3 linked regions of the Oreochromis niloticus genome follow. The protein of the gene in region 1 purifies or fractionates together with the protein of each later gene. This does not show direct contact. Links are inferred from orthologs where the notes say so. Each region holds a gene or a part of one and is shown in the gene's direction. Other genes may lie near its edges. The genes, in order: ptpn6, rpl35a and kdr.

Region 1 (7,550 bases):
TGCGACATATTTTATATTTATTTAAAAAAGACATCGTGGAGCTGATGAAGCATGTGAGTCTGGTGAAAACAGTAATGTTTAAAGGTCATTTGAATAGTGAATGAATGATGAAGAAATGTATTTATTTCACAATCCAGTGGTGATGAAATGGTGAAAGTAATGTGTTTTTTTTCTTGTGTTTTGCTTTTGGTGCTCTGGTTTTTGAAATGCTTTCTCTGTATTTTTCAATTCTCTATGTTATTTTGAAAAACTGCACTACAACGATTAGAATAATTGCTTTTTCATGTCTGGGTCATGGTTTTTTGAGTTGTTTGACAGTAGACAACTTCAGCTACACACGCTGTTTAAAAACAAACAGAGGGAGCGTTGGAAATTTTTTAAGGCAGACATATTGGACATTCTTCAGTGCTTTAAAAGTTCCGCTTCAATTGCTTCAATTACCAGAGTACGTTTTCTGACTGAGAAAAGGGCTGTGTAGGTAATGCATTTCAATCTGTAGTAAATATTTGTCCAAAAACTCCATTATATTCCATCATATTTTAACTCATCACCAGTATTGTTTTACTTTACATAAACAGACATTTCCGCCATAAACAAAAATTAGCATCAAGTGCAAAAAACCCCTGCATCCACACTGTACAATTACATTGTTGTCTAGAGGTAAACTGTCTCAAATTCAGGAAAAAGAGCCTTATAAACTCACAAATATGGATTCAGTGCATCTTTAATGGGCCTGGAACGAGATGAGACACTTTTGCCTCCAAGCTTGATTTCACACAGAGCTCAATCTGGGAAATGTGTAAGGTTTATATTTGTCGTTATTTTATGAGTGTTGGTGAAATGTTACAAATGGTACTGAAGGAGAGATACTGTGTAACTCTTGTGCTCCATATTTAATTCAGTTCAATTCCATTTTATTTACACAGCGCCAATTCACAACAGCAGTCGCCTCAAGGCGCTTTATATTGTAAGATAGACCCTACGATAATACATACGGAGAAAAACCCAACAATCGTACGACCCCCTATGAGCCAGCACTTTGGCGAGAGTGGGAAGGAAAAACTTCCTTTTAACAGGAAGATTCCTGTTAAAGTTTTACAAACCCATCCTTACTGTTTTCTGTCCCCTGCTGCTTTTTGGCATGCCACGCTGTTAATTTTAACCAAAAACCAAAATTTGACTGCTCACCCCTGTTATGCCGATTTCTGTGCTGCATTTCTAGTTCTCAAACAGCTCGAGGAACTGCTGAGCGACATGAAGGCCGACGTCACCCGTCTCCCAGCTACCATCGCCAGGATACCCCCCGTGGCCGTGCGGCTACAAATGTCCGAGAGGAATATTCTCAGCCGATTGGCCAGCCGGGGCCCCGAGGTCACCGCTCAGAACCAATCACAGACCGCACAGCAGATGCAGGTGCCGCGCTGACCAATCCCCTCGCACATTTCACACTCCCCAAACGAGGCCAGTCGCACTCACCTCACCGCCATGTAGCAGAATTCCTCCCCCTCAGCCACCATGTACAGCACAGTCAGGTTAGTACTTCTTCCTCTGCACCCACAACCCATCTCCGGACTCAGAAGAGCATCAGCTGTGCTGCTGGACTTTATTTTGAAAAGACTGGGACTGTAGATGTAGGGTGGGAGCGAATGTAAGAATCGGTTCTCTTTCTTTGCGGCAGACTAGATACAGACGTCTTTCTCCTCCACTGGGAATCAGATTGAACCCCTCTGTCCTGAACACTGAACTGACCTGTCCTTCCAGCAGGATCTAACATGTGTGTGTAACTATATGTATAATGAAGCAGAAGAGGCTTAGACCGGAGGGAAAGCAGCATGTTTGGAGTATACTGGTGCTTTGTGGTAACTTTTGGATTATTCCAGACTTCAAGGGATTTTATTGTGCTTGTTTTCACCTTTAGGAAATTGTGAAATTTTTGTTTGTATGTTTTTTTAGAAGTCATTTAACTCTAATGTCCTCATCTGTATGTGTGTATGGAGAGTGAAGGTGTGTGTGTTTTCTTGTATGTATGTGTGTGTTAAACAGGGCATAGTGACATGCATCTCTACTGCAGAATGCCCCGACACTGAGAAGGTGTTACTGTCACTTTTGTATCAGTCAGTCAGTCAGATCTGTTACCTCTTCTTCCGTCCTTCTCAAACTCTTGCCTGATCCGACGGGTGACCCAGTCGGGGATCAACTCTTTGTGCTCACAAACCCAAACAGCACCTTGACATTCCTAACTGCACCACAGATTTGCTTCATGGGAAGTCTCCTGTAATACAAACTCGCAATAGCTCCCCAGCTTTTTAGGTACATGGGATGGCGTTGAGGTTGATGGCAATCTTAAGTTAATTTAATTTCTTACTGTCTATTGTTATGTTGTTTTGCATTATTGAATATTATTATTATGGTTACCACCCTGTTGTTTTTATCATTGCTGTTTGTTTTTATGGACTACAATAAAAAAAACTCAACAGTTTCTTATTGTTACCACGTTTTATTTTTAAACTGATTATATACGTTTGGTTCTCCTTTTTTTCTTGAGCACTGCATTCTTCTACTTCTGTTTCTAGCCATGTGAGCGTTGATACTAAAGGGATGGCAAGTTCTGTGAAGAGTGACAACGCCAAACTCTGCGTGGTTTACTGTTAAAATTTATTTAGACACTAGACACGTTATTCATAGGTTCATTTTTAGTAAAACCAGAGTTGTAGACATGCTACTCGAATCTCAATTTAAACAATCAGTTTAACAAATTTACCCAACAAAGTGGCCACTGACACTATATATATATATATATATATATATACACAGAAAACTCAATTTTCTCTGGTTTTGCTTTTTTGCGTCTCCTTGCAACGACAGTTAGCATGAGGTGATTGTACCTGCAGTTATTTTAGGTTCATCGGTAATCCAGCTTCTCAAGGATGGCACATTTTTGACACATTGTTGCCTCTCCACCTCTGTATCGTGTTCACATTGGTTACGCTTCCTAACAGGACAGATTGATTTCCCTGAAGTTTAACTGACGCCGTGTCGTACTGGGATGATCGAGTGCTTCCTTAATTTTTTGAGCAGTGCCTCAGAAGACGCATCTGCATGGATGATGAATGCCCGGCTGTCATAGAAAATGTAAACATACATATTTCAATTAAACCGTCAGCTAGACACAAACAAAGGTCTTTAACTCACAGCAAAGTATAAAACGATTGATTTACTTAAACCTCGGTGAAATAAATAAAGTAACATTTCATTTATTTCCCGTTTAAAGAGACACAGGTAACACTGAAAATGACCTTAAATTACTTTCTTCAGCCATGTGTTCTTTCTGGGGGGGAAGGGGGCGTGTCCCTGTCCTGTTTGCCAACATGCACGCGCAAGTTGCGTGTACGCGAATGAGACTGCGAGATACCCTCCTGGCTTTTTCCTCTAAGGTCACCATGAGGTTTGTGTCTTTAGTAAAACTAGTTATGAGACAGAAATAAATGAAGTTAAAAAAAAACCAAAAAACACTCCTGAACTGAAACCTGGGGGGAAATGAAAGATGGTGGAAGAGGTGTGACTTCCAGGAGATTTTTTAAACCTTATTTTGAGTTAATATCAGCAAAAAAAGAAAATGATTCAGATAAGTTATATCTTATTTATCAAGTGACCCTTTATATACAGTTTTAGCTTCAAGTTATCATTGAAATACAATCAAAATGTTAGAGAAACTAAAAACAAATGGTCAGTTTCTTCTAGAGGGAATTTTATGCTAAAATTACACGATAATCCATATCGTCAAATGTGCAGAGGCCTTACTACACATCCACTCTTGTTTCTAAGTTAGGTTTCAAGGTGTTCAGGGACCATTTTAAAGGAAGTTGGCCATACATGTTCAGCCGCGCTGTCACGAAGTGGCTCAGATGGTCATAGATTATTATTTTCCTTTTTATTTTTTTATAAAGGGGCGTTAAAAAACTTGCATTAAGGAAGGTTTTTTCTTTAATTTGTAACGTTTGCATGCACAAAAAAAGTGCACGTTCAGAACAGTCTGATACTGTTCTCGCACACAAAACATGCCATAATTTGCATGCAAACCTGGAAAGACAAAGTGGAATTTACATGGAAGCAAATGCAGCGAGGTGGAAAAACCTGAGAGAATTTGTGTATGGAAGAGTTTGTTAGAGGAAGAGCAGAGAAGAAGCGGGGCAGGAACAGGCACATTTTCTTCCACAGATAGAATCCTAATTAAGAAAATTGGAGTAAATTACAGGGCGGGAGGGTTACTGGGCCGGTAATGAAGCCTGATATCTTATCATGAAAGAGAGTGAGCCAGAGAGGAAGGCTAAACTTGAGCGAGACTGGGTGTAAGGAAAAAGGGGATTTAACCTGCGCTCAAAATTCATGAGCTGAATGTTAAAGTAACCTGATTCCCTCTGTGAGTTTTACTCTGATCCGTGGCGGAGGAATATTCATCATCGGGATTTAACCAACCATCACTTCCTCGTACAGACTAAACTAGCCGTAGTGCAAGGGGGGGTGGAGTCCACATAATGTCTTGTGGGTAAGTTTCTTGTGCATATGTGACAAATATTTAATTTTCTTTTCCCGCTGCTGCTTTTAGGTGTTTGCAAAACCTTTTTTTGTAATTGAGCTTCTGTTCTACCTGTTTCTACTGTTGCTACTTTACTTTTTATGCTTTGTCTGTTCTTTTCTGTCTCTTTGAAGACTTTGGAGGATATGCTTAACCCTCAAACCACCAAGCAGTGTTAAATGCTAAAATTACTAACTTTTTTAAAACAATATTTTATACAAGAATGCTTTTTTAAATGGCTTTATTTGTGCTTATTATACCTATACGGCTTCCCTAATCCATGACAGATATTCTGTCCTAATGTAATTAATTATAGTTTTCCATCATTTTTATGAGTATTTGCATAAACAGTAGTTAGTATTCTGCTAGTTCACAGCAGAATAGTAAAATGTGATGATTATAAGTGGAAAATTACAGTAAAGTCAGAGATTACAATGTTTAAAAAATTGCCACACTAATGGATAGATAGAATAGCTCTTTACTGTCATTGTACATGTACAACGGGTGCTCCACACCAACTGTGCAGGAGCAAAAAACAAATATAAATAGTAAAAAAATCAGGAATAAACGGCAAACAGAAGAGATATATACAGCCTAAAGGAATATATACAAAACAAGAGAAAGGCACACAATAGAAAGCAAAGTGCTTGGAAGCAGTGCAAAGGGACATGGTCCTATTAAAAATACAAAAAGCTGTCGGAGAAGTCGACAAATTCATGACAGGTGGCATATTCATGATTAAAAATATCCCAGTGGCACTTTTAAATATACGACTGGAATCATTTGATGGAGTAGATTCTGTCATTTATGACTCCAGTTGTTACAGTGTGGGTGGAAAAGTCTTTTCTGAACATCGTGGTTTGTAGTGCCGTTTTCATATATATGCTATAAACACTTATTTAACCAGTAAGCTTTGGAAACAAAACAAAAAAAGCGAAACAGAGATATGACAGCAGGAAATTATGAGCAGGGAGAACAAAAAAAACACAGTCCGAATCCGAAAAAACAGGTAATAAAGCTCCAAGATCCCCAAGGGGAGTGAAAGTCTGTAGTTTAAGGACAGTTTGGATTTCCTTCAGTCTTTGTGGTGCATTGTAGCTGAAAGCAGATCTGCAAATATCTCGAGTATTCACTGCGTCTTGAATTGTAGTTGCAAGATTTAAATATTGTGCGGTGGCTTTATAACTGAACTCAGGCTTCTGGACTTCACTTTTGCTTGGCTGAAGAAAAGGAGGTCATAATTCAGTGTAGTTCTGAAAGCAGATCTAATGTATTCAAACATTTGCTCACTTTAGTCCCTTACCTGTCACTCATACTTGCATTACTTCTGTATAGAGTTTGCATTTTCCCCCTTAGTCATGCAGGTTTTCTCTACTTTGCATTGAAAAACTCCCTGGGTGCCTTAACCTGCCTGTATGAGTGCATGACACTCTTACAAAAGAGATTCTTTATTTCAAGAGTGTCACTTCCTGGTTAGATAAAGGGTAATAATATGGAAAATAAGCATTGGGTCATTAATCTTGGAAAACATCCAAACATGTCCAAATGGGATTTGCCTTTTGTTTTTAAAGTATTTTTTTTTTTTTTTAGGAAATCAGGTAACAGACATATGGAAATTAGAGTCTACACATTCACTCACCAGATACTTTATTAGCTAAACCTGTCTAATTAATTCTTAATGCAGCAGCTCAGTGCATTAGCTTATATGTAGATGTGGTCAAGATGACCTGCTAAAGTTCAAACTGAGCATCAGAACAAGGAAGACAGGTGATTTAAATGACTTTGAACATGGTTTGGTTGTTGGTATCAGGAAGGCTCATCTGAGTATTTCAGAAACTATTGGATCTATTGTGATTTTCCCACACAACCATCTCTGTGGTGCCTTGTTAATGTCAGAGCTTAGAAGAGAATGGACAGACTGTTTTGAGCTCATAGAAAAGCAACAGTAGGTCAAATAACCACTCATTACAGCCACAGAACAGCATCTCTGAATGCACAACATGCTGAACCTTGAAGCAGATAGGCTACAGCAGCAGCAGAAGGCCACACCCAGTTGTCACTCCTGTCAGCTAAGAACAGGAAACTGAGGCTATGATTTACATGGGCTCACAAAAACCAGACAATGAAATATTAGAAAAACGTCGCCTCATCTGATGAGTCTCTATTCCTGCTGCAAAATTCAGATGATATCGTCAGAATTTGGTGTAAACAGCCCGAGAGCATGGATCCATCGTGCTTTGTATCAACATTTAAAGTGGCTGTTGTGGTGTAATGATGCAGGGATTAATTCTTGGCACACTTTGGACCCTTAATACCAACTGAGCATGAACACCATAGCTTACCTGAGTGTTGTTGCTGACCTTTATGACCAGTGTGCCCGTCTTCTGATGTCGGCTTCCAGCAGGATAATGTGCCATGTCACAAAGCTCACAACTGGTTTCTTGAGCATGACAATGAGTTTTCTGTACTCAAATGGCCTCCACAGTCACCATCTCTCAATCCAATAGAGCACCTTTGGGATGTGTTGGAATGAGAGGTTCACATCATGGATGAGCAGCTGACAAAGCTGCAGCAACTGTGTGATGCTGTCAGATCAATATGGACCAAAATCTCTGAGGAATGTTTCCAGAACCTTGTTGAATCTATGCCACTAAGAATTAAAGCAGCGCTAAAGGCAAAAGCTCAAAGCAATATTTGGTAGGAAATGCAGCCTAAATGCTGCCCGACTGTTCCCCAATCAAAGCGGTGGCATTTAGTTTGAAACATACAAAAAGAGAGAGGAACAACTCTTCACTTTTAGAAACAAAGAAGTTGTGATTGTGAGGCTAAAAGAACAATTTCTGTCACCAATCACTAATATTATCTTAGCTCTTCAGGCCTTTAATGAGCAGAGCAGAAGTGCGTGTACTGTAAATTCCTCTAAACAGAAACAGTTTGATGCATTGCAACATACTGATGCATTGCAACACTCAGC
Region 2 (7,480 bases), on another chromosome or scaffold:
ATACTGACATTTCAAAAGTGTTCCGAAACTATTTTAACACGGCTAACTGGTAAAGAAAGCTAACACTAATGGTACTCTTATGTCGAGCTAACCACAGAGGGTAGCTAAGATGAAGTCAGGTGAAGGTAACAGCTTGTTTCTAATCTGAAAACAGTCGACGATGGCTTAGTTTATAGCATGATTGCTAAATGCTAATGTTACAGTATTGGGTTTGAGCATGCCCAGTACTGATATTGTCAAAGTAATTATTTATTTTTCCTTTTTGTTTTTGTTTTTTTTAAAGTTTATTTAGTTTTAGTTTTATTTATTTTTTTTTTATGCTTTTAGTTTTGCTTTAGGGGGCGGGGCCACTCTTCTGCCACTCATCCACCTGTGAGCTACTTGCTCACAGTTAATAATAGCCCAAAAGAAGCAGCGAGGGCAAAGTGTGGTTCGGTTCGGCTCTGTTCGTCTCCATCTTTCCTTATTATGGTGAACACTTTCATCTTGCCGCTGATGAAGAGGAGGATGTCTGAACCCTGAACTCTGAATGGCAGGATGTCGTCTCTGTATAGTTTTTACTAATGTCACTGTGGTTTAGGTCAATCATGTGACCTGGCTTTGTGATCACCTGATCGGACCTTTGTCACATGTACAGATGAGGGTGATCGGGTGGTTTCTGTTGCATGCTGGGACGTTTTTCACCTTGTAAAGGTGGCCCGACTGTTGTGTACAATTATATCCTGTAAATAGAAACGTACTGATGATGCTCTGTATATGAGGCCGAAACCTGGGTGTTACTATGACAACAGAGATGTTCGTGTTGCCATGGCAACCATGGGGGGGGGTTCTTCTCCTGTCAGTGAAGTAAGCAAACCGCTGCTGTACTGTAATTTTATTTATAAAAGTTTGTCCTGACAACAGTGATCAAAGCGATACCTGCTTAGCGTCTCACTCCAACTGGAGCTCCAAAAGGCTCCAACTGCACAAACACAGTCAGGAGGTGCAGTTCAGGTGAAGCAGACTGCTAGCAGCTGTAGCCGCCTGTGTCACCATCCACCTTTCAGTCAGAAGCCACGCCCCTAATAATGCAAACAGGTGTCATGAACGGGCCGGACAGTTTGTGTATCAGGCTGTAAACGTGTGTGGGGCTGACTCACTGCTGCCTCTGCTGGACATTAGAGGAACTGCAGCACAGTGAGCCTGCCGTCCTACAGTGGGCATGGCCTCTGTGTACAGTGATGTCACGTATCTGAGCTGCTGCTGCTTCACTGACCGGAGGAGAAGACTGTGTTTTTAATTTAAACTGTAAAGATGAGTAAAAGGGGCTGGTGCTGTGTTCAGGTGGCGTAGGACATCAGCATGCTGACACTACACTAAACACTTGCTGAAGTCTCAGCATGAGAGCACAACTTGAACAACCTGAATTATGACAAGCAGGCTGGGCCCCGCCCCCTGAACCACCTCCACCAATCAGCTCATCTTCAGTGGACTCACCTGAGACCTGAGTGAACCTGATGGGACAGGTGAGGCGGCTTAGAGGTTTCAGACAGGTGATGATGTACAAATGTTTTCTTCTTCAGGCGCTCGTCTTGTGGCAGCAGCGGGTCACGTAACGGGCTGTCAGATGGGCGGCTGTTTTTCCACTCGTGTGTTTTTGCTGTTTCAGTCATAAAATAAATATTATAATATGGCTTTGATGCTTTTATTGTGTCAACACCACACACAGGAAGTGGTGAAAAACATGTGGCCAAAAAACGAGAACGCCATCAGCTGATTGTGTTCATACTGTAAATGTTTCCTATGTTTTCTGTTTTTCTCTCCTTGGTGGTTTTTTGTGTTTCTGTGAATAAAGTAGAAATATTTGTCACAGATGAACGTCACGTCTGCAAGTCTGTTCCCGGGTCAGGGCGCTGGGACAGGAAGTGCCATCTAATATAATATAACACCGATTCATGACTGAAAGTATTCATGACTCCATTGGACGAGCTACGACGTGTCACATCAGGGCTGTTTATGAAGAACAGTCTGACTTTACATTCTTTAATGACACGCAGTGTGTGCTCCCATTGATGCTGCAGTGTCCTGGAGTGAGGGTGTTATTAAACAGCATGGTTTATTACAGTACGTGCAGCAGTGTCCTCACAGGAAGCTCTGAAGCCCCAGGTAACATGTTGCTTTAAACGGTGTCATATCATTCCTTATCAGACACAGTAATCACACCTCCCAAATCCTTGACTCTGAATTTCACATTTATTTAAATTCAGCTTTAATCCTAAAACTTCAAGCACTTTGGCAGCAGTGGAAAGGAAGAAACCTCCGGCAGAACCAGGCTCAGGGAGGGGCGGGGCCATCTGCTGCGACCGGTTGGGGTGAGGGAAGGAAGACAGGATAAAGACATGCTGTGGAAGAGAGAGATTAATGACAGGTGAGAACAGAGAGGGCACCATCATCAGCTCACTGGGTCATTGAAAGGTTCAGATGCTGGTCAGCTGGTAAGGAGCGATGGCCCAGCCCTGATGAAGATGATGTTGATGATGAAGGTCATCTGTTTAAGGAGTGAGGTGTTGATCAGACTTCACGTGTCAGTGGGCAGGCGTGTAACCTGAGCCTCACTCACCTGCTTCACTGTGAGACGAAGCAGAGCTCTGCTTTAATGTGAGGCTGTTCCAGCTCACAGCGCCCTCTGGTGGTGACCTGACTGCCAGCTCCATGGATCATCTTTCAATGTCGAGGTGTGAAACAGAGCTGATGATTTTAGCTGTTCCAAACGCTCTTGTGATGAAAGAGTGACTTTATGGTTTCCTCATTAATGAGTGTTTATTCATCATTATATTGAAGATGCAAGAGCCAGGGAAAGAAGCAGCTTTTACAAGACAACATAGGAGCAGTAAGAAGAAAAATATACATCACTGAAAACAATAAGAATATATAATGACATCATCTTGTTGTTATGGCAGCAGGTAACAAACAGACATCCCATCAGTTATTAGCTTGTGTGTGTGTGTGGAGATGGGAGCGGGGGGAGCTGCACAGTCTGCCATCATCATCATCATCATGACCATCTTAGATGATGACATGAGTGGAACCCCAAAGTGTGCTTTGATTGTAACAATGACATCAGGCTCCGCCCCCTGCACTACTGAACAAAACAAAGTATGAAAAGGAAAGGAAGAGCAAAACAGTAAAGGATATAAAAAGGTCAACATATACACATAAAGTAAAGCATTAGTTAAACAACAAAAACATATTGCACACAACAGCATCTGCTGGGTGGGATTTAGTGTTGTGGAGGCTATGAGACGGAAGCCGGGCCTCAGCCTGAGTTTCACTGCTCTGGTGTCTCCTGCTGATAGCGGCAGATGGAGCAGGTCGTAGCTGGAGATGAGGGCCTCTGCGTTCCTGAGGCAGTGGAGCCGTGCAGCTCTGCGTACACACAGGGGTGATAGCACCTCACGCTGTCGCTGGGCAGCCAAAGGACATCAGCAGTTTCTGGGGAATGGTGTTTGTTCCTGGGGTGACATCGGATAAGACTCAATCCTACTTCATAGTGCAGACCTCAGGTGTCTGCAGGTGAGACAGCTGATGGAGAAGCTCAGAGAAAACAGACTGTAATCAACGTTGGAGTTCTGGGTAAACAGGTAACGCTGCCGTTCAGACCAATCACCACACAGTCACAAGTCCGCCCTCTTATTGATACAATAAAGTCAAATATTTGTATTTTAATTCAATGTCATTTCAAATCAAATCACTTTTATTGTCACATCACATGTGCAGGTACACTGGTACAGTACATGCGAATGAAATTCTTGTGTGGAAGCTTCACAAGCAACAGAGGTGTGCAAAATACAAGAAACATAAGAGCAAGCAAAATATAAGAATGGGAATCTGAGTACAAATATATGTATATGCACATTACTGAATATGTATACTAAATATGTGTGTGTGTGTGTGTGTGTGTGTATACATATATATAAAATTAAATGAAAATAAAATATACAGAGGTGCAAAACAAGTGGCATTCATGTACAGTATGGAGTGCATAATGTTGAAGTTACGGTAAGTGAAGGTGAGGTGTCTATGAAGTGTTCAGCAGTCTGATGGCCTGTTGGAAAAAGCTGTCTCTCAGTCTGCTGGTTCAGGACCGGATACTGCAGAACCTCCTGCCTGATGGAAGTAGTCTGAACAGTTTATGGCCAGGGTGACTGAATAGGTTACATCATCATTATTATTATTATTATTATTATTATTATTATTATTATTATTATCATATTCAATAAAGCACGTTCATGCGGTGGATTTTGAAAATTAACTTTAAAAATATTACATTAACAAAGACAAAAACATGAAGCCATAAACATTTATTATTATTATTATTATTATTAACGTGTGTATTATGAAACTCTGTAAAAGTGTTTTTAATTGTTTCTTTGATTACATTAAAATCTAAAAATAAAATAAATAAAACGAGCCTTTCTATTCAGGCAGCTCCGTGGGCACCTCTGTTTACACTAATTTCCCAGCATCCCTTTCGCTCTTCCTTTTTCTCCTTCTCTTCGGACGCGGTGCAGGTACGAGTCAACATGTCCGCCGGCACATTCTTGAAAAATGCCCGTTAATCTGCTCGGTGGGCAACTGATAGTCCTCCGGGGGGCCGGAGCAGGAGCCCCGGCGCTGCTCGGTTAGTCTGTGTCTACGCTTGAGCTGCTGATGGCGGAGATTCGCTCCGGATAGAGAAGCTAGCCTCGGCTAACGAAGCTAGCCTCGGCTAACGAAGCTAGCCTCGGCTAACGAAGCGCAGGGCCGGGGTTAACCGAGCGGCTTCCGAGCTGCGCGTGCCGGCTCCCGCACACGTGCGGTAAGGAAAGCGTGTGTGGGAGCCCCGGTGCTCGCAGCGGGCTGGAGCTCCCCCGATAAACGCGTCAAACCTGAGGAGCCACCGGCCTGAGCTGTCTCCAATTCTCGTAGTTTCTCGTGAAATAATGAGACGGAAAGAGCCGAATGTTAGGTTAGGTTAGGTGCTGTATGAAGGGAGCCATCGGTTATCGATCAGTGACGGGCTGACCGCAGAATCACACGGATTCCAAACGGCACTGTTTCTGTGACAACCTCAGACACTTGACCTGTGGTCCAAGATGCCTCTGAATAAGTCACGTGACTTTTTACCTGGTAGCGTGGCACATGTTGATTCCACATAAAATGTTTTTTAAGAGCAGTAAATGCATCAGGTCACAGAACAGCATGCTCAGTGTTCCACTTGTAAGGTCATAGCTGACTAAACCTACCTACAGTTATCAGGGCCCGGCACTATAAAGTCGTATTATTGGTTGCCATGGTGATGTATCCTCCTGAAAACACTGCGGGTACAAAGTCTAGAGCTCAAGAAAACATGCTGGTTACCGGCGCCGTAGCTCTCATGAGCCGGTCGATCATGTGATGCTGCAGTAGGTTTTAGGTGTTAATGTGATTGTTTCTGTGCAGGTGAAGTCACCTGAAGAATACCACAACGACCAAGATGCCTGGAAGGTGAGTGCCAATCATTTCACTCTGTGCTCACATGATGTATGTCTGTGTGAGTGATGTAACCTGCTGAAGCTCTGAAACAGGTGAGGGCAGACGGGTGTTAACAGGAAGCGAGTTAACCGTGAGTGCAGAGCGACTTCCTGTCTGCTGTGCAGTGATTCTGGGATGGGTTTAATAAAGTTTTATTCAAACAGGCCGTGATCTGTCAGAGCTGCTGTTCCTCGCTGCAGAGACGCTGATGGTGATGATGTCATGGTTGGAGGTTCACAGATGGAGCGTTTTAGGCTGAAAAAGTACCTGTGTAAACGCAAAAAACAGGGAAACGCTGTCAAGAGCATGCCAAAGCAACAGGTGCCGATGTAATCCTAACATTGTTGAAATGTTGGCCAATCAGAAGCCTGGGAGGGAAAGAGTAAGCATAATTGCCGTTGTTGTAAACAGAGGGACAGTAACTCTGTGTAACAGCAGCAGTGTTTTGTTTCTGTCACTGTAGAAGTTCATCTCATGTGAACAGTAACGTGTCGCACACCTTTGATGTTGCGTGACTAAATCTGTTTTCCTCGTTCACACGTAAACACCTTAGAGTTGGGTCCTGGTTGCTATAGAAACAGTTGAGGGCGCTGTCAGCAGGTCGTTGCTGATGATCTGCGGAGCATGCAGGTGAAGCAGGTGCAGGGTCACGACCCCCGAGCCTCACAGATCGGAGGAGCAGGGTGAAATAACCACAGTGACATCAGCTGGTGGAGTGGGTCACGCTTTGGCTCTGATCAATGAGAACTGGAGTACTGATTGGTTGTTTTTGGATGCTGACAGCAGATAAATTAATACTTGATGTCATTGATCTTGATTGGTCTCAGTCCAGAGCGCCACAGGCCTCTGGGGGTCAGGTTCACCCGTGGCTCCTCCCACTCCAGCTTATTGACGATGTTGATCGTGTCAGCTGTTTCTGGGCTGATTGATCAGTCTGTTTACTGATCATTCTGCAGGTTTGATTGGCTTCAGATGTTTTAAGGTCTGCTGTGATGGGCAGTGTACATCTTTTATTTACAGGCTGTGGACTGGGAACGCCGAGTTTGGATTGGGGCTTTTATTCTGGGCTGTTGGCGTGAATCAGGAACTGAGCGGGTTAACGATGATGTCAAAGAAATACGGAGGGTAGCTTCGTTGTTGTGATTTATTTATTTCCCGCCTCCTGCGTTTGGCGACTGTGGCGTGCAGATTCTGCGTGTGATGGAAGTGTGAGCCGTGGCGGCGTGGATGCGCTCCATCAGCTGATGTCTGGGCAAAAAAGAAACACCATGCTTTGACGTTGGTGAAACCTTCGGTCGGGCTCGGTCTGGAGCGTGAGCAACTCTTTCCATTGGTCAGATTTGGGGGCGTGGCAGCAGGTGGTGGTGGTGATTTTGATGTCTGATGCTGTCTCTCTTTCAGACTGTGGAGTAAGGCCATCTTTGCGGGCTACAAGCGCGGCCTGAGGAACCAGCGCGAGCACACGGCGCTGCTAAAGCTTGAGGGCTGCTACAGCCGGGACGAAGTCGACTTCTACCTCGGCAAACGCTGCGCCTACGTCTACAAGGCCAAAAAGTGAGCTGCCGCACCGCCATCTTTCATTTACTGTTAAGGTTGGCGTGTTTCTAAGTGTGTGTGTGTGTGTGTGTGTGTGTGTGTGTGTGCGCAGGAACACGGTGACACCCGGCGGGAAGCCCAACAAGACCCGTGTGATCTGGGGGAAGGTGACCCGGGCGCACGGAAGCAGTGGGATGGTGCGAGCAAAGTTCAGCAGCAACCTGCCAGCCAAAGCCATCGGACACAGAGTCAGAGTGGTGAGTCACATGACCTCAACAGCTGGGGTCACGACCTCACAGACGCCTCTCTGCTGCTGCGGCGTTTCTGTGTTCTCTGCATGCTTCAGGAGCAAAAGTGCGAACTTTGACCTGCTCCGGCTCAGAGCGCCGTCTGAGCATGCTCGGTCCTGAAG
Region 3 (7,817 bases), on another chromosome or scaffold:
TTACAATTCAGATTCAATCCGAGTAATTCAAATTCAAATTTAACTTATTCAAATTCAGTTTCTGATGGCACAGATTTCTGCCCATAATATTAGGGCCATATTTATGTTAAGTAGTCCAAAGGCATATTCCAGTGTAAATGTTTAAGTTACAGTCATTCATTTAACATTTTTGCAATGGTTATTTAGTACATGATTGTTATGGATGTGTGATATAGTTATATAGTGTGTGAACTTATGGAAGTAAACAAACATGGGGACACTGATGACAGGACAGAGATGAAACAGAGATAGACTGGACACAAAGGGGGAACTAAAATCATAAAACAAGAAATCAACTATAATCAACTCAACATACTTAGGAAATAGAACATCATTTATGTTATACTTTCAAAGAAATCAACAAAAAATCCAGAACAAAACTCAAAATAATGTGTCAATGGCCCAGAACCGTGACAGCCATACAGAAGCAGCCATGCACCTGTGATATGGGGTATTGTAATTTTTCGTCCAGGAAAGACAAAAACCTGAACACAGGGTACAGGTTCAAAGTATAGATTCATTAGTTACACCTTACTAGGTGGTCCTCCTTTTACCTTCAGCACTCCCTTAGCTATTTTTGACATAGATTCAACTAGTGCTAGAGATCTGGGTCCATACTGACATGATAGCATCACACAGTTGTTGCAGATTTGTCAGCTGCCCATTTATGTTGCCAATCTCCTGGTTCAACACATATCAAAGAGCTACTGGAGTTAGATCTGGTGACTGTGGAGGCAGTTTCAGTACACTGTCACTGTCATGTTTAAGAAACCAGTTTGATTTGATTTGACTTTTGTGACATTGTGCTGGAACCAGCCATCAGAAGCCATCAACAAATTTCCCACGTGTGGGACTAATAAAGGTTATCTTATCTTATCTTAAGACAGTTCACTGTGATCATAAGGGAATGGACATTGTTATGGCTCCTGGCCTTGGAAGAAGTGAGCTAGCCTTCCTTCAAGCAAATTCAACCGTGACAAATTCAATCCCCCCAATTCAACCGTGACAACACCGACAGACGATTGGCTGTCTGGGAACCCGTGCTAGCCTTCCTGCATGTCAATTCGAATGTGACAATCCACACAGACAATTGGCTGCCTGAAGACCTGTGGTTTGCACCTCCAGGGAGAGAGATCAATCTGCAACCAATTGTGCACACCTGTGCCTTCAAAAGGGCTGAAGAACTTTCATTCAGGGGCTGCTGCTTTGAACTGAATGTGCAGTTTGCCCCACAGTCTGTGAGCCTAGCTTGTGAAACCCTGTTTAAGGTGTGGAATTTGTTTGAATAGCGTTTAGTCATGTTACAGCCCATGAGGCTAGCTTTAATTTCTACTTGTACATGAGCAAGTTATTTTTGTATTGGTTATTTGCCTTGTGGTTTGTAGTAAATGTCGCTATCGGTTTTCAGTTCTGAGTTTTTTTCTGTAAATAAAACTTTGTCTTAACTGATCTCCCTCGTGAGGGTCTCGTTTATGCCACCTTCCCTGTCCCCTAGCAAAACCGGGTCGTAACAGACATGTTCAGCAACAATTCTCAGGAAGGCTATGGTGTTTAAATGATGTTCAGTAAGTGCTAAGGAGCCCAGAATGTTTCATGAAAATATCCGCCATGCCATTACGTCACTCCAACCAGCCTGAACCATAAATGCATTTAGATCAAATTCTGATCCTACTGTCAAAATATGGCAGCAGAAATCAACCAGGCAACATTTTTCACATCTTTTGTTGTCCGATTTTGAGGCCTTGTTAGCCCTTCAGTTTCCCATTTCCTGTCCTAGCTGACAGGACTGCCACACATTGTGGTCTTCTGCTGCTGTGGTCCATCTGATTCAAAGTTCAACATATTCAAAGTTCATATAAGGAGATGCTCTTCTACATACTTGCATTGAGTGCTTTGAACAGCTGCTGTGTTGCTCAAACCAGTCTGACCATTCTCCCCTGACCTTTGTCATCAGCAAGACATTTTTTCCAGTGAACTGCTGCTCAGTGGATATCGGGGGGCATTCTATGTAAGTCCTGGGGAAGCTGGCCTGTGTATTTCAGAAACTGATGATCTGCTGGGAAAAGCTGAGCAGATCATCAGTTTCTGAAATACACAGACCAGCCTCTCTTATTCACAAACAACCAAAATCACTTAAATCAGCTTTCTGCCACATCTGATGCTCAGTTTGAACTTCAGTAGGTTGTAACATGTTTAAATGTCTGAGTACAATGGGCTGCTTCCATGTGATTGATTAGATATTTACTTGAACGAATGGTTGGACAGCTGTACCTAATTAAGTCACAGCTGACAACAGCTGACAGTCTTATACCATTAAGCTCACATTTTATCCATGTATCTCTTTTGTAGATTTTAGTTCAACAGTTTAATGGAGGACAAATTAGCAGTCGCTACTACTACTACTACTACTAATAATAATAATAATAACAAGTATTATTATTATGTTATTGTAATTTTACAGGAAAATTGCAAAATACAGTAAAATATTTTCTTCCACACAACCACACACTGCTCATTCTTTCCTCTCCTTTGCTCAAATGCTTTAAACTATGAAAACATTTCTCTTTGTCTGTGAGTGGGCCAGAGTTCAAAGCAATCACCTCTCTTTGGATTTAGAAAATAAACAGAGATAGAAAAATGGAAAAATGTTTCTGATTCCAGCTTTTCCAGAAGGGAATTCAGTGTAGACTGTCCTCCAGGAAATGATGGTTACAAGGCAGCTAGGCAGTTTAGTATTCAGAGAGTCCCAGTAGAAGTGACCAGGCCAGGAAACATGTGGATGCAGCGCATAACACACAGCCCTCAATCATCTCCCTCAACCCTCCTGAATCCACGCCAGCATCAAAACACAGCCTCCTCCCTCCTCATCAGATGAAGCACTACATTCATCACACGTTTGAAGTTCTGGAAAAATACAAAAATGGGACACAATCTGATGTTAATCAGTTCCAGGTATTACCTTTATCCCTTTCCTCTTTTCAAGGCAGCAGTCCTAATGTAAATGTCATTTGGGTTTGGTATAAGCTGCGCCCTGCTTTCCTGACATGTTTTTGGCACTGTCCCAGATTATCTGTTTCTTTTTCCAAACCTTAACAGATATCTTTGGGCAGGCAATGGAACCTGATCCACAGATATATTTGACCCTGTAAAAAGGCCCAGTCTGTGTCTCTAGTAAAGCTTAATACTTTGATTATTTTACAGCTGTAATTTATTTCCAAGTATTAAAAAGCTACCAGATCAGCATTGGAGGGACATTAGTCATTAGTTAGGTTTAGTCAGTCATACTGCATTTCACCATTACTGCTCCATTTTCAGCCTGTCCCAGGAACTGCAAACTTACATGAAAAAGCCTAAATAGCTTTTTTCTTTTTTTGTGAATAATCATGATGACTAAAATGCCCAAATTGTAACACAGTTGTTACATTACTTAATGTCTGTATTCAGGAATCATGAGATACTTTAAATTCACAGGTTATTAAGGTGACATTAATTCCAGAATTACATGAATTAATTAAACGGTTAATTAATTGTTCTATGAATATCTTAATATTGTTTTATTTGATTATAAAATATCGAGAATTTTTTTTAATGCATCTTCAAATTCATGATAATCAATGCAGTCTTTTGTTACACAGTTAGACAACACCATACTGTATTTGTAAAGAGGGGGACTTCGTATAGAAATGACATTAAAATCATATTTAACCAACATCCACGATATCCATTGTCTTTCTTTTAAGTTCACAAGCTGCAGCACACACAAAGGACATGTTTAAACATTTTTCTAATCGCCGAAGAATACGTTTTCAACTGCGTCTTTAATATAGCGATTTCAGCGCATGAATTAAACCTATTGTACTTTCCACTGTTTCTTGTATTTACAGTCCTCCCACCGAAAACACTGCGCCCAGATGAAAAGAATCGACTTTCCGGTTATGCACCAAAACTACATGCAGTAAGTTTCTGCCACGTGTTTGGCTGATTGAAGATTTGCGTTAGGGAACAGTTTAAAGGGTTTTCCTAACAAAGTGGCTGTTAAGCATAAGTAGCCAGAGAATCACCCAAAGCAACTCCGGCAGGATAAAAGTGTGGAGCAGTGTGATTGTATGGAAGTGCGTAGGGTCTGTTCGCAGGGAGATGTACGCCTCACCCGAAGTGTGCGCGTTTTAACTGTGTTCTAGAAGAAGCGTAAAAAAATATAAAATTATTCTCATTCAACCATAGTAACCTGTTTGTATAAAGGGGGTTGTAGCAATAGTGAATCTACAAGGAAACAAGAATTTAGTTATTATTAGGCCTCATGGCTTTGGTTCTCTGACCTATCATGCTAATGTTGCTTTAGGTCACATGGAGGCGAGAATAAGCAACTCTTGGGCTTCTTTCTACTTTTATGCAGGAGTGAAAACAGGTCCTTAACCCTAACTTATGAACACACGTTTTCTTAATGCTTTTGGTAATGGGATTTTCCTTTTAATAAATTTATAAATTTTATGATTATTACTACTCTAGGAGTCAAAGTTATGGTGTAAACATTTTTACGACTCCTCAGCAGGGGGTTATGCATCCTGGCTGTCACTAGTTCTTAAGTCTCCCAAGTTTCTCTCAAAGTTCAGTAAGTCCTCCCATCAACTGGGCAACAAGCCCAGAAGTTTATTGCAGGCAGCATTCGCCTTGGTAATTTTACAGAGAGTCAGAGAGAGAGACTCCTCCCCTGCAGGCAGGCTGCTCAGCCGAGGCGCGTCTCTCCATCCTCAGCCGCAACAGCTCCATGGGGACACGCACAGTCACACTTTAGCCACTGCTGATCACCATCCACTGCAGGCTGTTTTCATGACTTTCAAACTTTCTCTGGGGTGGAATATAAAACAGCTTTTTTTAATGGATTGGTAATGAGGCAGTAGGATTATCATTATTTCTACAGTTACGTTATTAATTGGACTTTGATGAGGACTTTGTCCTTGTCTTTTGTCGGATGATGGCGCAGACACTGTCCGTCATTCCACTACTGGGCATTATTCTGGAAATCACTTGTTTTGCTGGTAAGATAATAATATTATCCCCATTTAATCGTCTACCTTAATAGCGAATTAAGCTGAAAAACATGAATTATATTAGATTATGATCTAAGTTTGATCTTTTTTTTTCTTTTTCTTTTTTAAATCTGTCAACTCAAAGTCACCCTGCAGTTCTATAAAAGCTTTTGCCGCTTTTCTAAGACATTTCAAACACTTTGTCCTCAGTTGTTCTATAGTTTTAGTCTTTGCTGAATGTTTTCTGTCACTTTAGAACTGCAGTCCAGTTTGAGGATTAGAGGATAAACCTTCAAACATTTAAGCAAAAACATTTGAACTGTGGCCTGATGACTTGTTTTTATGTTGTAAAATGTAAACGTAAAAAGTAACTAGTTTCTGCTGATGTGCTACGTTGTTCAACAGTTTAAACTTTTTTTTCTTCTGAGATCATTAAGGCCCACTTCATCAGCTCAGCTCAACACTTAGTTTTTTCTTTTTTGTTTTTTTTGTTTTTTTCCATACAATGCATTATGTCCTTTAGGGCCTCACAGGGAGGTGGTGGGCAGGCTGTATCCTCAGAAACAGGAACCCCACCTAAGGCACACTGTGCTAGACTATTGAGCCTGACCCGGCCCATCTTCTCCTGCTTCCTGTTTTCACACAGCTCCGCCATTTGCTGCAGCAATGGAAAAAGGGCCCTATGTAGCCAGAGACTCAGATACAAAGCACATCTTATAATGGAGACTGTTTTTTCCTGTGCTCTACTTTCAGTTTTTACCTTGTGCCTTTTGATTTAATCTTAATCTTATGTGCATTTGTTTAAAACAGTAGGGCCATGATCTCTGAAACCTTCATTTAATCATTGTTTGTAGAGACTGATGTCATCACCCCGACTGTGTTAAAAGTTAGTCGTTGCTGTGACTGATTTGTACTGTTAATCTCTCCAGCAGCGGAACTGCGGTTTATATCTGATCCACCGACACTAAATATCTATGGCATCCATAGGATGAACAAATCTGACAGCCTTGAACTAACATGCAGGTATGTAAGACTATGCATACACCTTACAGAAGCTAGTGTTGGGGAAACTGGTTTAACAAACTTTTTACTTCACACCGAAAGATTTGCCAAACAGCAAAACTACCCTAGAACTTATTCATGCCCTCATCACATGCAGCAAATGTATGCGTGTCATTGTCTCTGTTCAAAAGGTGCCTGTGCAGTGTGGGTTCTCAAGAACTCCTCATATAAACAACATGAACATCTGACAGGAGTAACTGTATTTTACAGGAAGACCAAGTCAATAAATGAATAGGATTTAAGTAAAAACATGGCCATTTGATAACATTTTTTAAAAGTTAGGAATTTTTGGTGCTGGTATTCTTTGGCAGCTGTTCACTGGCAGGCTTGAAAAAAGACCTGGTTTTAGGCTTAATATTACAATTAAGGTAAGGTAAGGATTAGACATATACAGATGTGGCCAGGAGTTTCATCCTGGAGATGAATGTCATGCTAAGTTTTGGCTATTAATGATTACACAGCATTCATTTTTAATGATTAAAACAAAACAAAGATAAGGTGCACAATTTTTCAATTTATTTAGTCTTTTCTTTGATCCACACAGTCAAAAGTAAAAACATGCATGCTCAAATATATACGTTGAGTTAAATCTTTTAATAAGAGGTTCCGAAGGTTCTACAATGTCTTTTAACTTTACATGTCCAAGGCCTATTAACTTGTAATCATGATTGACTACAACTGGTAGTTTCGCTAGGCTAGCATAAAAGAGATTTATTTGACAACACTCATTGGACTGACCAAAACTCGGACCAATGGGAAAGCCCAAGGAACTTTGGATTTAAGATGGAGAAGTGTACATTTACACAAGTTTGGAAGGTATCTTGGAGTCATTTCTAAAAATCTGCAGTTTCCAAGATCATCAGTTCCAACAACTGTACATAAACACAAGTTATTAGGATGTGTGTGTGTTGGTTTAGGGTCTGGATGGCTTGAGGATAGAAGCTCTTCTTGAGTCTCTCTGTCCTTGCCCGGATGATGCGGAACCTTCTACCAGATTGTAGAAGTTGGAACAGTTTGTTGCCAGGGTGGGACGGGTCCTTCAGTATCTGCGTTGCTCTAGTCTGGCATCTCCTGGTGTAGGTGTCCTGAAGTGGGGGGAGAGCAATCCTGCAGCAGCGTTCTGCTGTACGGATCACTCTCTGGAGAGCTTTTTGGTCCTTCACACAGCTGTTCCCGAACCACGCTGTCATGTTCTGTGTGAGGATACTCTCCACAGCGCCTGTATAGAAGATCCTGAGGATCTTTGGAGAGACCCTGAACTTCCTTAGTTGTCGGAGGTGATACAGGCGCTGCCTAGCCTTCTTGGTCTGGACCTGAATGTGGGCAGCCCATGTCAGGTCTGAGGAGATGTGGACACCAAGATATTTGAAGGACTGCACCCTCTCCACTGGAGCTCCATTGATGAAAATGGGCTTGTAGTCTCTGTGCTGACTCCTTCTGAAGTCCACCACCAGCTCCTTGTAAAATGTATAGTTTACTAATTTTGCTAATGCAGTAACTAGCGTTCTTCCAGTGTAAACATTCAGCTTTTTCTATTGTCATAGCTCTGAAAATAAGTGTGTAGTTTCAGAGTTGTTCATGAAGTCATCTCTTCTTCCTGTGTTTCAGTAAAAGTAACTATGACTCAAAATTTATTAGCTTCATGCCTACATGAACACCTCCGTTTCACTTTTGATTGTAGAGCAA

The links.
Region 2: the proteins of ptpn6 (region 1) and rpl35a purify together in Homo sapiens (affinity purification with mass spectrometry; 3 studies listed by BioGRID and IntAct, with this or other methods). This does not show direct contact. The link is inferred for Oreochromis niloticus from reciprocal best matches to the Homo sapiens genes PTPN6 and RPL35A.
Region 3: the proteins of ptpn6 (region 1) and kdr purify together in Homo sapiens (affinity purification with western blotting; 3 studies listed by BioGRID and IntAct, with this or other methods). This does not show direct contact. The link is inferred for Oreochromis niloticus from reciprocal best matches to the Homo sapiens genes PTPN6 and KDR.

What each region holds. Positions count from the first base shown.
Region 1 is NC_031976.2:23,272,456-23,280,005, reverse strand, and holds the start of ptpn6 (tyrosine-protein phosphatase non-receptor type 6), read left to right. Parts: upstream 1-4,520; 5' UTR 4,521-4,535; coding exon 4,536-4,546; intron 4,547-7,550. Other genes in the region: chd4b (chromodomain-helicase-DNA-binding protein 4), read left to right, coding at 1,223-1,425. UniProt on the Homo sapiens protein: Tyrosine phosphatase enzyme that plays important roles in controlling immune signaling pathways and fundamental physiological processes such as hematopoiesis.
Region 2 is NC_031979.2:39,856,461-39,863,940, forward strand, and holds the start of rpl35a (large ribosomal subunit protein eL33), read left to right. Parts: upstream 1-4,454; 5' UTR 4,455-4,550; intron 4,551-5,460; 5' UTR 5,461-5,494; coding exon 5,495-5,505; intron 5,506-6,933; coding exon 6,934-7,086; intron 7,087-7,180; coding exon 7,181-7,325; intron 7,326-7,480.
Region 3 is NC_031986.2:37,676,569-37,684,385, reverse strand, and holds the start of kdr (vascular endothelial growth factor receptor 2), read left to right. Parts: upstream 1-4,766; 5' UTR 4,767-5,011; coding exon 5,012-5,078; intron 5,079-5,998; coding exon 5,999-6,092; intron 6,093-7,817. UniProt on the Homo sapiens protein: Tyrosine-protein kinase that acts as a cell-surface receptor for VEGFA, VEGFC and VEGFD. Plays an essential role in the regulation of angiogenesis, vascular development, vascular permeability, and embryonic hematopoiesis.